2 linked regions of the Rattus norvegicus genome follow. The protein of the gene in region 1 purifies or fractionates together with the protein of each later gene. This does not show direct contact. Links are inferred from orthologs where the notes say so. Each region holds a gene or a part of one and is shown on either strand. Other genes may lie near its edges.

Region 1 (7,965 bases):
AGTTCCAGAATATGATGGCACCCTCTCTGGACTCCAGGAGTAGCTGCACTCAAATGTACATAGCTGCACAGACATTGCAGAGACATTAAATAGACATATTTTTTGAAGTTGCTTATCTTTTGTATATGCAAACTTACCTGTTATGTACATACATGCACCACATGGGTGTCTGGTGTCCTTGGGAGCCAAAGGAGGGCATTAGATCCCCTGGGACTGGAGTTGCATGTGGTTGTGAACTGCCATATGGGTTCTGGAGCCAAACTGTAGTCTCTGCAAGAGCACCTCGCGCTCCCAAGTGCTGAGCCCTCTCTCCAGCCTTCACAGACTAAGTCTTTATTGGCGTAGACAGCTCTCTCAGGTGTCCGCATCCTTGTGTTGAGTACTGCACCTGTGCTGTACAGACTGTCCTGCTGGCATTCTGTCATTTTGATTGTCCTTTTCCAATAGCTTCTCAGGTGCTCTGCACCTGGTCAATTTACATCCTTTGTCCTTAAAAACCTACACTGCCATTGTGCACCATTATGCCCTCCTTCCTTCTAGGGCAGCAGTTGGATGAGTTCCTCCAGCTCTCTGTGGACACAGTGGAGGCGGGTCTGGCCTCTGAATCCTCCCGTAATCAGGCTTTCACACTGCTGCTCTGGGTAAGGAGGTAGCATAGATGCTGGCAGACACAGATGATTGTGCCAAATTAAAAAATTTCTACTTGCCCCTGTAGTAGTTACTTTCCTGTTGCCGGGTTAAAATACCATGACTAAGATAGCTTATAGTAGCATCTGACTGGGTTTAAAATGGTGTCAGAGTCAGAGTATGATGGCAGAGCACAGGCAAGACAGCAGGAATAGCTGAGAGCTCACATCTTGATCCAAAATCAAGAGGCTGAGAGAGAGACTGGGAATGTCTCAAATCTTTTAAAACCTCAAAACCTACCTCCCGTGACATTCTTCCTCCTGCAAGGCCAGACCTCCTAAGTACTCAAATGCCAGAGACTAATGGGGGACAGACATCTCATTCAAGCCACATGTGGCAGGAGGGCCTCTGGGTCCTGATTGCTTTTTTTTTATTACAGGTAACCAAGGCTCTAGTCCTCAGGTACCATCCTCTCAGTGCCAGCCTAACCGCTCGGGTAAGCTCTACCACATAACTGGAATCTCAACAACATGCCTTGGATCCTACCTCTTACTGTTTGTTTTTAAAGATTTAAATTTTGTTGGCTGTGGGGTTGGGGATTTAGCTCAGTGGTAGAGCGCTTGCCTAGCAAGCGCAAGGCCCTGGGTTTGGTCCCCACCTCCGAAAAAAAAAGAAAAGAGAAAAAAAAATTTTTGTTGGCTGTGGTGGCTTATGCTTTTCCGTCCCAGCACTCTGGCAGAAAGAGACAGATCAATGAGTTTGAAGCAGTGGTTCCAGGACATAGAGAAGCCTTGTCATACATACATACATACATACATACATACATACATACATACATACATACATACATGTGTGTGTGTGTGTGTGTGTGTGTGTGTGTGTGTGTGTAAAATGTGTATGTTTTGCATGTGTGGCCACTGTATACAGAATGTGGCACATGCATCCCTGCTGCCCAAGAAGGGCAGAGGACATTGCCAGAGTTGGAGTTATGGATGGTTGTAAGCCATCATGTGGGTTCTGGGAACCCAACCCAAGTTCTCTAAACAGCAAGTGCTCTCAACCAGATCCACCTCTTCAGCCCCCGTTCTTATTCTTACAAGGCTTTCATTCTCTTTGGTGTTTGAGATTTTTCCTTCTATCACACTTAACAGGCTGGTTTGTTTTTTCACTAGCTCATGGGCCTCCTCAGCGACCCAGAACTAGGCTGTGCAGCAGCTGATGGCTTCTCTCTGCTCATGTCTGACTGCACTGATGTGCTGACTCGGGCCGGCCATGCTGATGTTCGGATCATGTTCCGCCAGCGCTTCTTCACAGACAATGTGCCTGCTTTGGTCCAGGGTTTCCATGCTGCTCCCCAAGGTATCTGAAAGCTGATCTCCAAATACATGGGCCTCTACTCTTGGCCATACGTCCCTACAATAATTTAGGACCCAGACGCTATATTGTGGTCTACACCTACAGAGCTGTACTTTCATCCCACTTTTCCCTGATGAGTACATTTGAGTTATTAGGAGCTCAAGAGGCTGATTAAACTGTGCGTGTGTGTACGTACATTTGTGTGGGAGCCAGAAGTCAAGATCTAGTACCTATTTTTATTAACTTTTTTAGATTGATTTATTTTATATGAGTATACTATAGCTGTCTTTAGACACCAGAAGAGGGCATCAGATCCCATCACAGATGGTTGTGAGCCACCATGTGGTGGCTGGAAATTGAACTCAGGACCTCTGGAAGAGCAGTCAGTGCTCTTAACCACTGAGCCATCTCTCTAGCCTTATTACGTTTTTTTACCAATTGCATGCCACAATGTCTATGGAGGTCTCGCCTTCCACCATGTAGCTTCCAAAGATGGACCACAATGTGTCTGTGAGGATCTCCCCTCCTCCATGTAGATTCCAATGATTGACCACTAATCAGGCTTAACAGTAGGTGCCTTCACCCACTGCCTGCTGATGGCCTGATTGCATGTTCTTCCATTGTTTTCCACAGTGTGGTGTGTGTTTGTATGTATGATGGAGGTTGAAGAAGTTGTACCAAATGGGTTCCAGGGATTGAGCTTAGGTCATGAAGGCGAGGGCCTTTACCTAAGGAGCTATCTTGCTGGCCCTTCTACTTCATTTCCTGAGACAGGATTTCCCAGTGAGCCTCAAGCTTGCTGCTCTGGCAAGACCAGCTAGCCAGTCTCCCCACTGGGATGCACTGCAGCGCTTACCATGAATCATGGTTTCATGGGACTAGAACTCAGGTCCTCATAGTACAGAAAGTACTCTCCCACCTGACCTATCTTCCCTAGCCTCAACCCTTTTCTTCAGGCAGGTCTCACTCTGTAGCTCAAACTGGCTTTGACTCCCCTTGCCTCAGCCTCCTGAGTTCTGAATAGACTTTAGTCACCACACCTTATTATAAATTGACAAACCTATTCATGTGAGTTAGAGATTGAATTCTCAGAACTGAATGTCTGTCTAACCCATTTTTCTCCTACACATCTTTTTTCTTTTTATCCCCAGATGTGAAGCCAAACTATCTGAAGGGTCTATCTCATGTACTCAACAGGCTGCCTAAGCCTGTGCTTTTACCAGAGCTGCCCACAGTAAGTCCTGTGGGAACCTTCAGCAAGGGACGGGGGTCGGGGAGGGGGAGGAGGGTGGTTTCGGGTCCCTTGGCTACAGCTGGTAGAGGGAGTTCCAAGACCATAATGTACATCCTATTTTCCATTGCTTCTTAGCTCCTTTCCTTGCTGCTGGAGGCACTGTCCTGCCCTGACTCTGTGGTCCAGCTTTCCACTTTGAGCTGTCTCCAACCCTTACTACTGGAAGCACCCCAAATCATGAGTCTTCATGTTGATACTCTGGTCACGAAATTCCTGAACCTCAGTTCCAGTCATTCAATGGTGCGTTGAGCCCAGCACACCCTTCAGTACCTTTCTCCTTTATCTCCCCTGACCTCATTTTGTGTTCCAGGCCGTCCGGATTGCTGCTCTGCAGTGTATGCATGCTCTCACTCGGCTACCCACTTCTGTGGTAAGTCTTTAGAGTCAGAAGTGCTTGTTTGAGACAGGGTGGTCACTGTTCTCCAAGCTGGCCTGACTTGTGTACGCTGCCATACCTGGTTGAATACTTTTTTGCTTTCAAGTGAGATTAGCCACCACCAACTGAGTATGGTAGGATAGGAACTATATACATGGTGCACATAGATAATTATAAATATGCCACCACCCCTTCCCCCGAGTGCAGAATGGATCTAGTGAATTCTGACCACCTCATAACATTGCTCATCCTACATAAAAACCTCAAATAAGAAAACTGGGGCTGGAAAGGTGGCTTAGGAGCACTGGCTGTTCTTCCAGAAGACCCACATGATTCCTAGCACCCACATGGCAGTATATAGTAATTTGTAATACCATTCTAGGGGATCCAGTGCGCGTACATCTGGCCTCATGACACCAGGCGTACACATACGCAAGTCTTTAAAATAGGGCACATTTCACTTCTATCAGAATTGAGCTGCACAGTGTAGGATGCACTTCTTGTTGTTCAGCTCAGCCAGAGTAAGATGGTGTCTCTGATTTCTTCACAGTTGCTGCCATTCAAATCTCAGGTGATCCGAGCTTTAGCCAAGCCTCTGGATGACAAGAAGAGACTTGTGCGCAAGGAAGCAGTGTCAGCAAGGGGAGAATGGTAAGCTGTTGGCTGAAGGGAATGGGGGGGACTAAGGAGAACCTCAGAATAGTGTTGTAACATTCTTCATGTCCACAGGTTCCTACTGGGGAGCCCTGGGAGCTGAGCCCTTGGTCCTCACCTAAACCCTCCTGACAATCTAACCCGCAAGTACTAATATTGAGCCATCCCACAAGGCAAGACCACCCACTGGCCTGCCCGCCCATGGATGCAGTACAAATGCTGGGCCTCTCCTGCATGGCTGTGCAAAACTCTTTTCCAAGAGCCATGATTTCTAATGGATTGTTGAAGAGACTGAGACTTGTATTTGAGGAAAAGATCTTGGGCTCTCCTGTGTCCTATCAGGACACTACGTGGCTGTGCTGCTGAAGGGCCAATCCAGTTGAGTGTGACCTTGAGAACTAGGGATGTGTGTTACATGAATGCACCTGCCAGCGAATAAAGACTTTTGTAATGGGCAGATTCCCATGTATTCCCTTTATCCTGCAGATGCTGTAGTGGCACATACCGAGAGCTCCCAGCCCTTCAAAATATGCCCAAAATAAGGGCATAAGAGACACCCTCGGGGTTGGGGATTTAGCTCAGCGGTAGAGCGCTTGCCTAGGAAGCGCAAGGCCCTGGGTTCGGTCCCCAGCTCTGGGAAAAAAAAAAAGAGACACCCTCGGAATGCCCACTCAGTGACCCACTTCTTCATCCTGAACTTCACCTTCACCAAGGCACAGAAAAGCTACTATCTTTACAAATCAAATGCCTTTATTTTCGCTCCTTCCGTAGCACGTGAGAAATGGCAGTGACCTTGGCAATAGGCTTAGGTTCTTTATCCCATTGCGAAGCCAGAACACACCTGATGGATCTTTTCCCAAAGTCAAAGAAATGGTGTCTAGCCCCAGTGCTGTGACCTAGAGCTCATTACCTGACTCCTGGTCTGGGGCTAAAACTTATTTGCCTGAGTAAAGGGACTTCAATCATTGAGTTCCTCCACACTGCATCTTGCTCTGAGGTGGCAGAAGATTGCTCTTGATTGTCCCTGTGTAGTACTCTAAGGCAGCCTAATGGTTCTTATGGTCATGGATTCCAGGAAAAGCTGCCCTTGGAAGCTCTTGAAAGACAATAAACATCGAACAATGTTCAAGTTGTGGCTTACACGGCCATCACAGAGGCTGAGTGAGCAGTCACCCAGGGAGGAGGATCCCAGCTCATCCCATTCCCATGAGGCAGGTGACTAGAAGGTAACAGCACCCGGGTCAGCCAATGCCTGTGAGGAATGATCCAAAAAAAAAAAAAAAAAAAAAAAATCTCTTTAGGTCTGAGTTCTTGGTTGTCCTTCCCATTTGCCCTGCAGCAAACATACATCAAACAAAGACAGAGTTCTCATCTCTGATTCTGTCTGGGAACTGTACCCTCTGGGGCTCTGAAGGCATCTTAAGCACTTTTTAATTTAAAGCCTGGGAAGTGGGGAGACAGCTTAAGAACAGTTCATAGGGGGCTGGGGATTTAGCTCAGTGGTAGAGCGCTTACCTAGGAAGCGCAAGGCCCTGGGTTCGGTCCCCAGCTCCAAAAAAAAAAAAAAAAAGAACAGTTCATAGATGCTCTAAGTATGGCCTTCTCCATTTAAGTCACTTGTTTTTGTTTCAAGACAGAACATCACTGTGTAACCCAGGTTGGCCTTGGATTACCAATCCTGGTAATTACGATGCCCTGGTCTCCTGAATGCTGGATTTCCAGGTGTGGGCTGCCATGGCCAGCCCCAATCTTGTACTGTGCTGCAAGTGCAGTAGAGGGGAATGCAATGATGATGAGGCAAAGAGGAAGGGACTTCACGGACTCATCAAGGGTAGGCACAGGGTGAGGGGAGGCAAGGTCCTCAAACTCTGGATCTGCCTGTGCCTTCCAAGTGATGGGATTACAGATGTACATGATCATGCCTAGCCTAGTAATCTGCATTTTAAAAAATTATTTCGGGGGTTGGGGATTTAGCCCAGTGGTAGAGCGTGCCCTGGGTTCAGTCCCCAGCTCCGAAAAAAAGAAGAAAAAAATGATTTCTTCTTGGACTGGACAGAGCTAGTCTCTCATATTGCTGTCAGACCTCTGTCACATGTAGGTTACCTCAGTCTCACACATTGCTGGCTTGAACTCCAGATACAGTGCCTATCTACAAGCTCTTCTGTAGTTGTTTGAACCATACCTTTTAAACCACAGTTTCAGGGGCTGGAGAGATAGCTCAGCACTTGAGTACCTGTTGCTCCTGCAGAGTTTTGATTCCTAGTACCCACATAGGAGTCTATACCACATGGCAGTCTATAACTATCTCCAGTCCCAAGGGATCCATCCAATGCCCTCTCCTGACCCCAGGTACCAGGCATGCACATGATGTGCATAACAAGTATACAGAAAATACTCATACTATTTTCTTTAAAACGTTTTAGCCTTGGGGGGTAGAGAGATGGCTCAGCAGTTAAGAGCACTCTTCCAGAGTGCTCTTCCAGAGGTCCTGAGTTCAATTCCCAGCAATCACATGGTGGCTCACATCCATCTGTAATGAGATCTGATGCCCTCTTCTGGTGTGTCTGAAGACAGCTGCACTGTACTCACATACATAAAATGGGGGGAGGGGAGTGAGTTTTAGCCTCAGGCCCCAATGGTTCAAATAAATAGTGGTTATTCCAAGTGCATAACAAAAAGCTGGTCGCATGTGGCTATTCCTGAGGATGAAACCTAATTGCAAACTCCTCAGTGTCACTAACCAGTCTGCTTTTGTGGACAGTCCACCTTCTACAGCACTGTCTTTAGCTTCAGCTGGATTACAATCTCTGATTCTGGGTATGGACCAGGTCCCTATCACAGTCCTGTTGCACAGCACTGCTGTCTTTCTTACTTTACCTTCCTGTGTCCACACCTAGGAACACCTTCCAGTTGTCCAAGCAGCCGTAGTTGTAAGGATTCCTAAACACCTAGAGACAAGGAAAATACATTGCTACTCTTCTACTTAATCTCCTTCTCATCTTGGAGATGATAGAGCTCCTGTAAGCAAAGTCTAACTTTTAAGACACCTGTTGGCTGGTTGTGATGATGCATGACTTTGACCTCAGCACTGGGCATTCTAGGCCAGCCAGAGCTACATAATGGGACCCAGCTTTAAAACAAAGTGAAAAACTAGAAACTTGTCTAAGTGAGCACTGACAGTGGCCTGTTTGTTACCCACCTGCTCACCCAAGTCCCTTCCCCACTCACTCTGCCCTTGGCCTGTAGCCGGCGTCTCTCCTTCTTGTTGATATGCCTTTCGATGCTAGTCTCACCCCGGCTGATGAGGACAGCATGCCACATGGTTAGGGCACCCAGGGCCAGGGCCACAGAACTAAGAGGCAAAAATTAATAGAAATTAGAAGCTGGAAGACAGAGAGGAGGGCAAACTCGTGGCTATGATTGGCTTAGAGCCTCTCTGCTTCATTCTCCTGACCTCATCATCCAGGGCCTAGGTGAGCACATATTCAACCTTTTAGAGGTTTACTGAAATCTGGAAAAAGGTGGTATGGAAAGGAAGATGGGGGAAATGTAGACTTTGTTAAAATGCCCATGCTTGACTTGGAAGATAGTGAAGGGTCATACAAGCATGAGGGGTTGGACTGGTTGTCGGAAATCCATGTACCAACACTGCAGCTCC
Region 2 (8,600 bases), on another chromosome or scaffold:
CTTATACTCTACTAAGTTTAACCTTCATAGATTGAAAAGGTGAACCTAGAAGGTCACTCCCAGCACTTGGGAGGCAGTGGCAGAGGCCTGCTATGGCTGCTTATATATAATCCTGTCTCCAAAAAAAAAAAAAAAAAAAAAAAAAAAAACAATTAAAAAACCCAAGTATGTTTCACACTGTAATATTTTTTAATTAATGTTATATATTGTTCCTTTAGACATCCGTCTTAGTTAGGGTTTCTGTTGCTGCGATGAAACACCACAACCGCCAAAAAATGAGTTGGAGATGAAAGGGTTAATCCACATCACTGTTCATCATTGAAGAAAGTCAGGACAGGAACTCAAGCAGGGTGGGAACCTGGAGGCAGGAGCTGATGCAGAGGCCATGGAGGGGTGCTGCTTACTGGCTTGCTTGCTCCTCTTTGTTTGCTTAGCCTGCTTTCTTTCTTTTTTTTGGTTCTTTTTTTCGGAGCTGGAGACTGAACCCAGGGCCTTGCGCTTCCTAGGTAAGCGCTCTACCACTGAGCTAAATCACCAACCCCTCAGCCTGCTTTCTTAATAGAAGAACCCAGGACCACCAGACCAGGGAGGCATGACCCACAACAGGCTGGACCCCCACCCCACCCCCCCCATTGATCACTAATTAAGAAAATACCTTACAAGCCTGCCTCCAACTGGAGCTAAGGAGGTTTTTATTACTTACTTACTTAATTAATTAATTAATTTTGCTTATTCACTTTACATCCTGCTCACTGCCCTCAGTCACCTCTCCCTAACTTTCTTACCCTCCCCTCACACCCCTCCCCCTATTCCTCTGAGCAGGTGGGGGTTCCCCTGGGCATCAACCCACCCTGGCACTTGAAGTCTCCGTGAGGCCAGGTGCTTTCTCTGATGGACGACACATTTTCTTAATTGAGGCTCCATCCTCTCAGATGACTTGAGGTTGACATAAAACGAGGCAGCATATCATGTTGCTATACCTTTAATAAACAAAAAGTAGTATAAAATAACTTTTAAATTCTTCGAAAAGCTCAGAAAGTTCGTGTGACTCAGTTGGAGTCTCAATTGTAACTATTTCAGTCCCTTAAGTTATAGAAGCAAGATGCCATATATACATATATATATATATATATATTTGAATGAGTTTGAAAAGTGGGATGGAAAGCAATAAAGACGGCCTGTATTAGAACATTTCAAGAATTACTAAGGTTTTCCAGGTTTTTTATGACTGATTATGGTTCTGCTAATCTCACTGTTGAACTCTATGAAGGTTAGAGAGTAGAAACAAGAGGATATAATCAATTCAGCATCTGTTGCTATAGTAAAAAAGAATCGCTAATCACATACCGTGCAAGTAGGTTAAGTATATAAAGTGAGATGTTTGCCTGTGATGAAATATGGCATGGACATTTAAATCTGTGTGAAGATTTATAATATATGAAAGATTAAAAATAAAATGTAGCTACTAGTTGTAACCATGTAAATGGACCAAACAGAAAGGGCAAAACCAATAGCAGACAGAAGGAGCCATGTTATGATTAGTAAGATTTTCATTATAACCTAGCAGATTTTACCATTTTTACTAAGTACAGATCAGCAAAGTACCTCTTAGGCATTCAAACAAAACAAAAGCACTAGGCATGTATAAAGTCAGTCAACAGGAATGCATGATTAGTTGGGCTGCGAGTATATGATATGATTTTTTTCCCAAGGTACACATTCGAGTCGCTTCGCCACCAATAAAACATCCGTGCTTCATGGGAATAAACATTCCTACAAAAGAAGAGCTTATAGCCAATAAGCCCGAATTTGAGTATCTTGCAGAGTACCTTGGTAGGTATTAACATTTCTATAAATATTATTAACTGTCTGTTTTAAATTTTGAGTGTACTTTTGTGTAAAACAGCAATTAGTTGGAAGGTAAATTTGAGTGCTGGGGAGCTGGTCCTGGCTCTAGTTCTGGCTCTGCAAGTTTTGGGGGACCAGAGTTGAGTCTGTAAATGATACGTGGGGTAGGTGTGTCTAATTCCAGAGTGGAGACTGTATACCCAGAGTAAGCAGGCTAGCTAGAGTCACAGAATCCGTGACCCTGAGACCACTACCTTGGCCTTCTACAGACTCATGTATACATGCGCACATACACGCTGGGGGGTCAGTCATTCACAGTAGCACCAAAAGTTACCTTCTAGTAATAACACAAAGATTGCAAATCCTATCTTTTAACACTTTTTTTTTTTTTTTTTGGTTCTTTTTTTTTTTTTTTTCGGAGCTGGGGACTGAACCCAGGGCCTTGCGCTTCCTAGGCAAGCGCTCTACCACTGAGCTAAATCCCCAACCCCTGCAAATCCTATCTTATGTGGTAACACGTGCCTTTAAATCTAATACGGGAGACAGAGGCAGCCAGGTCCGAGTTTAAGGCCAGCAAGGTCTATAATGGTAATTAATTCTAGGATAGCCAGGGCTACAGAGTGAAGCCTTGTCTCAACAAAACAAAATAAAAACAAAAACCCCACAATAATTATTATGACATTGAACACAATTACTCTAAAGAGAAAAACAGGTGGGGCACTTTTTATATTAGAGCTATAGGTCAAAGCAAGATCAGAAGACCATGTTTTATCATAGAGTAGAATAACCCCCCCCCCCCACACACACACACACGATTGAATTGAGAGATTTGTAGATTTGTACGCTCTAAACCAGCATTTTTCCACTAAGCTACATTCCCAGTTTCTCTCGCCTTTTAAAAGTTTGAATTGTCCTGGTTGGCTTGGTCCTGACATCATCTTGCCTCAGCTTCTGAAGCAGCGGGGGCTGCAGGCTGTATGTCATCACATCCAACTTCCCTTTTTCAGGAAGGCTAAGAGAGAAGCTTTCGTCCTGACTGTCAGCAATGTCTGTAGGTAGCTGTGTTGTAGTGAGACATGTTTTCCTCTCCTCCCGCAGGAGCAAACAGCGTTGTGTATCTGTCAGTGGAAGGACTAGTTTCGTCTGTGCAACAAGAAATAAAGTTCAAGAAGCAGAAAGTTAAAAAGCGTGATATCACAATTCAAGAAAATGGAAATGGTCTGGAGTATTTTGAGAAGACGGGACACTGTACGGCTTGCCTCACTGGCCAGTACCCTGTGGATCTGGAATGGTAGCTGCCTGGACCGATGTGCTGCTTCCAGACTGAAAGGTCATCAAGAAGTGGTTTACATGTGTTCCTCAGTTGGTACAAAATGGACACCACTTGCTTATGTATTATACCTTAAGTTTTGAGATTTTCTGAGGTCACTGAATTGCTATAATTGAATCATAAAGATTACATGTAATGCGACATGTGGGGATTCTTTTTGTATAAGGACTGACTTTTCACCCAAGAGAAGGCAGGAAGTGGCATTTCCCAGACCCATGCTTGAATGGTTCTAAAGAGGTGAGATAGGGAGGTTGTGTGCCCAGGACAGGAAGCTTTATAAAGTTTCATGAAAAGCTTGAATTCATTGTGCCCCATATGTATCTAGTCTATGCAGTCAAGTCTGCAGTTATGGCCTTGGTCTTTGATTCTTCCACCCCATACACACATGTATGGCTCTGGGGACCAGTGTACAACTCCTAAAAAATGAAAACCTATGTGGAAAGCTGAGGCAGGAGAGTCCTGAGTTCAAGGCCAACCTGGGTTTTCCTGTCTCAAGATAAAGAACCTCTTTCTGTGCCTCGGACTCCACATCTGTTTCCTAAGTCATTCATAAACTTAATGCTTAGCGGGAACTTGTGTGTTTGTCTGGGAGGCTTAGAGCTGCCGTTTTACCCCTGCTTCTTTACCATGCATGGTCAGTAGCTTCAGAAGCTAATGGTAATTAGCTTTCACTAAATTAGTTTTCAGTTTCCTTGTGATGGAGGTTTGCAGACCTTTTCCATCTCTTTGGGATATACCAGAACGACTGAGAAATCTATCTGGAGCCCTGTTTTTCTACACTTGACAGAAAATATTTAGCCTAGCAAATAACTTAGTAAGTACATTGGAAAGAGAAAATTTTAATTTCAAGTAAGCCTTTATCCTTGATTTGATTAAACTTGGCTGTTTGAATGAGTGCTTGATCATTTACAGAACTGTGTACTTGTATACATGTATGCATTTGGTTTAAACAGAGGGAATAGAGACACAGTAGGGCCGATTTTGTTTAAAGGCTGAGGGGACAGCCACTGTTTGGGGAATTAGATTGCCTGTACCCAAGCGTTAGCTCATGATCATGTTTTTTCTAATTTTTTTTGTTAGGTCTAGTGACATTTTTAATTTTTTTATGATGCAGATTTAGTGGATTGAGGTGATTTACTAACTCCTGTTTGTGTGGGATTTTTCACATGGAAAAATAATTGTCTCTATATTGCCAAAATTTGCTACTTTCCAAACCCACTTAGAAATATAATATTTATTAAAAACTGAAATCATTAGTCCACATTTGGTATATAGTGTGGTGTGTCACATATGGCAGGTCAAAATAAACTGTTAGGACTTCGAGGTCATGTGCTGCGTGCGGTGCCTGAGGTTGTCCTGTGGCATAGACACAGGCTGGCCTTTCACAGCCCTGGGGCCATTTTAGTGGGTGCAACCTCCTGTGTTACATGCATTGTGTGTAATGGCGGCGTGGAGGGGTAAGGCCGTTAGGTCAGTTTTTAAATGGCCTTATTTAAATTTGATGTTTTACAAAGAAACTCAGGGAAGGTACTACAACCAAAATCTCTAATTTGACTTTTGTGTTCCACAGTTTTTATTTTGTTTTATTGGAATACTTTTATAAAGGGAAATAATAACCATGGTCGTTTGTACAACTTTCTTAATTATTTCTTCATTGTTACCTTTTATTTTACAAGTTTCTGAATATGGATTAAATTAACATTTTACCAGTTTCAAGCCTTATTTTATCTGCTTTAAATGTATATAACTAGAGTACTATATGCTGAAAAGATGAAAAATGTGTTTGAAGACAGTTAACGTCCTAAACTAATGTAAGCCTACTTTTTGTTTTGTATGTGCCTGTGTGGTTTTTTGTTTTTTTGCAACAAATATATGTAATAAACGTGTTTATATGTGTGCTTTTTAAAAATAGTAGTAATCAGTACATTATGGTGCGCAGCATGAAGACAGTGCCAGGTTCCATACCTGGCATCAGCTGATGAGATCTTATTTCTCTGATTCAGGCATTTTAATAAATAGTCCATCTCTTATGAGCTGGGCAAACACATGCCAAGCAGGAGGGCAGTAAAGTAATTGGAAAATAGAATGTCAAGACGATCTGTGGGAGTCATCTGTCTACCTTCTTTCAACTGAAAGAACCAGAATTGGGACCAATACGGGGCCAGCGGGAAAATTCTCACTACAAACTTCTGAGCACAAGGACCCCTCCCTTCCTGGAAGAAAAAAGCTGGTTTAGTTCCTGGAACAGCAGCAAACCAAACCTGTCACACAAAGCTACCTGACTCCCAACTAAAAGTCCTGAACAGTACACGGAGTGGATCTGAAAGTTGTTTCCATCAAATGCCATTGTGCCCTGCCTAGGTACCTTTGTGCAAATTCTGCCCCAATTGTTTGCAAGGTATATAACCCCCTGTTAAGAGTCTATCCAGGGTTGTCTCCCCTTGGAATGGGACAGCCCCTGCAAACTCTTGCTTTTGTATCGCTCACCCCGCCTCCATGAGTCTCATTTCCCAGAAGAGTTTCAGTTTGGACCTCAGACAACGCCATTAGTTGGGCTCAGCAGCAAGTGCCCTTCTCATCGAGCCTTCTCGTTAAGGCTCCCTAAGCTTGTTGGTCCTAAGAGTTCTTCCAAGACCAGTTGTCCAGGGCCAGGCGGGGCTCCAGTCTGAGAAAAGAGAAAGAGCAAAACAGCCCAAGAATGAAAACGATGTGTCCTTTAGAACAGCCAGTGAGTAGAGAGCAATCACTCCCCAAACTAAAGCCCATAATATAAAAGTGCCTCTGGTGGGAATGGCTTGGGAAGCCTTACTTACCTAGGGTCCTGTTTGTCCTCCAGGGCGTTCCCTGTTGGACTCACTTTATCTGCTGCCTGCTGTTGGCTCTTGCTTGTGATAGGCTTAACCCACTCACTAGAAACTCATAGCTTGACTTTCGTGGATTGTTCTGCATACAGGAAAAACCGTTTTCCAAATTGTTTTTGAAGGAAGCAGTGCTGCTCGCTTCCCAGTGAGAAGTGAGACTGGGGGGGAGAGGGGGCAAGAGGAGGAGAATCAGAAGAGAGGCAGTGAGATGGGCAGTATGTGATCGTGAACGTGCTGAGGACTTCCGGCACTTGGCTGCCATTACTGTACTTACTGTTTAACACCTGGAAGTAGACTTGGAAATAGTATAGCTGTTATAGTTGTATAAAAGTTACATATGGGGGGAAGAGTTACATATGGGAAAGGGACTGGTTTTAAGCTATATAGTACCTGATATTCTTGTTTCTGGGAAGTAGACTGTTCCTGGGTGAAGGGGAACAGTGTTAAGTCAAAATCTACAGTGTGGGTTTTGTACTAGTTTACTCTTAACAAATTCCCCAGTGGTGAGGGGGGTGGTGCACACAATATCTCAAAAGCCCTTCCAATGGAATGTTCCTCCTTCCTGCTTCCTGTTCGTCTCTGTCCGTTCTCCTGACTTCCTCTCACTTATTTTTTTCCCCATGTTGACTCCCTGTCAATGGTTGCTTGTTCCACCTCTTGACCTATGGTTGACTTTATTTAGTCTTGTTTACAGTAAACAGAAAGTTCTTGGATTCAAGGCGTGTGCTAGGGCTGAGCCATATAACCAGAGACAGGTTTTTCCAGTACACAGTCTTGGGGGTCACAGTATAAGATATGCTGCAACATTTGCCATCCTCAATTCTAGCTTGTGATAAACCAGGTACATTATAGCTCAGATGGACATATAATTATATAAACTTCCTGTTTATGAATCACAAAAAACAACAGGCCTTGCTCTGGCTAGGACCATACACTATCATAAAGTCCACAAGAAACTGCTTTCTGTTCCATCCTGAGTCTGTTTACCACTTTCTAGTTTCATAAACCTCACCCAGCATACATGTTTACTTACCAAGAGTCAGTGTAAGAGTGGTGCAGGTCTGTGAGCTCGTTTACTTAAGAGGCTGAGGCACTGATTGGTATCTGGCGTTCAAGGTCTGCCCATGGTGTATCAACTGAAATGGCATTGAACAAGTACTGAACTGAGATGCACCCTAGTCTCTGCAACCCTTACTGACTTTTAGAAAACTTTAAAATAAGAATGGGTGATCATGAATTTATTACATTCTAGATAAGTCTCTTTAACATGAGATAGCCCAAAATGAGTAGGAAGAAAATAATTGGGAAGGAAAGGGAAAAGCACAAATTATTGAAGGTAAGCACCCCAACAGGCAGACAGGTGGGAAAAGAGGCCAAGGATAACCCCCATGTTCATTCAGAACAAAGGCCTGGTGGGCTTTTTCACTCTACTGATGTGCCCAAGATCAGTCCTGGACACGTCTCTGCTTGTGTGAGGCTGTGTATATCATCTCCCTTTTACTTGTTGAAGTCAGCCAATCCAGAATAAGGAGAAGAGGACCCACACTGTACCACTAAAAACATTTAAATGTCCAGGGAGAATGGGTGAGGGGGACTTGGCTTTCAAAATCCCCTCTCCCCTAGTGGAAAGTCTGTCTTTACTGTGAGAGAATGAGAGGCTAAGGCAAGAGGTTCTTGAACCTCCAGGTCAACATAGCGATATTGAGAAACCATACTCCAGAAGAAGAAAATAAACAAGCTGGGATTGTAAGGCTTGAAGTGAGTCTTAACTACCAGGAGACCCCCCCCCCCCAAAGTGAGACATGAGAATGGGGTTCGATGCAAACCCAAGAGGTTTATTTTCCTGCGTGTTGGGGTCAACCTTCAATCAGCCCCTCCTGGAAGGTGACCTGGAATGGCTATAACAAGCAGTTTTTATACTTTTTAGGTTACATCAGCAAGGTTATAGTTTAAACCTATTGGCTAAGCATATTGACCTTTGAATCTATTGGCTAGCAAGCATATGACATGCATTCAAACTCTGTCTGGGACCAGGGGGTCATGTGACTATCAGTCAGTACATTCTGTGGTTTTTCAAGAATGTCCCTACTCCTCCCGAGAACTGTGGGTGGAGAATGAAATTGGCCTAACCTTGACCTGAGGCGGTGGGTGTAAAGCTGGTGAAAGCCCTTAGGGTCCTTCACAGGAACTCCATAACCTACCTACTTTCTACCAGGCCAAGCCTCTTAATAGCTCTTACACTTAAGTAAGAACTAGAGTCCTTCAGAATCAGACTTCTAAAGGATGAGGTGTTAAGGGGTTGAGTTGGCAAGTTAAGAATCCCTTAAAGCCGTGAAATACTGGAAAGCATTGGGAAAAGCAGTGAGGGCTGGAGAGATGGTCCAGAGACCCAGGTTTAATTCTCAGTATCCGGAGTAACTCATCTATAGCTCCAGTTCTAGATGTCCTAACAATAAGATCCCTCTGTGGTCTTGCATCATACGGTGCCCAAACATGTAGGTAAAAGGCCATTACACATGAAATACTTTTTCAAAAGAAAAAAAGCAGTCTGAGCAAGCCTG

Evidence for each region. The genes of interacting proteins can lie anywhere in the genome.
Region 2: the proteins of Mms19 (region 1) and Ppat purify together in Homo sapiens (affinity purification with mass spectrometry; 3 studies listed by BioGRID and IntAct, with this or other methods). This does not show direct contact. The link is inferred for Rattus norvegicus from reciprocal best matches to the Homo sapiens genes MMS19 and PPAT.

What each region holds. Positions count from the first base shown.
Region 1 is NC_086019.1:250,703,394-250,711,358, reverse strand, and holds the end of Mms19 (MMS19 nucleotide excision repair protein homolog), read left to right. Parts: intron 1-540; coding exon 541-641; intron 642-1,066; coding exon 1,067-1,123; intron 1,124-1,799; coding exon 1,800-1,986; intron 1,987-3,134; coding exon 3,135-3,217; intron 3,218-3,352; coding exon 3,353-3,517; intron 3,518-3,587; coding exon 3,588-3,647; intron 3,648-4,203; coding exon 4,204-4,304; intron 4,305-4,382; coding exon 4,383-4,410; 3' UTR 4,411-4,764; downstream 4,765-7,965. Other genes in the region: palmitoyltransferase ZDHHC16, read right to left, coding at 5,445-5,559, 7,185-7,255, 7,536-7,659. UniProt on the Homo sapiens protein: Key component of the cytosolic iron-sulfur protein assembly (CIA) complex, a multiprotein complex that mediates the incorporation of iron-sulfur cluster into apoproteins specifically involved in DNA metabolism and genomic integrity.
Region 2 is NC_086032.1:31,599,324-31,607,923, forward strand, and holds the end of Ppat (amidophosphoribosyltransferase), read left to right. Parts: intron 1-1,712; coding exon 1,713-1,833; intron 1,834-2,946; coding exon 2,947-3,143; 3' UTR 3,144-5,065; downstream 5,066-8,600. UniProt on the Homo sapiens protein: Catalyzes the formation of phosphoribosylamine from phosphoribosylpyrophosphate (PRPP) and glutamine.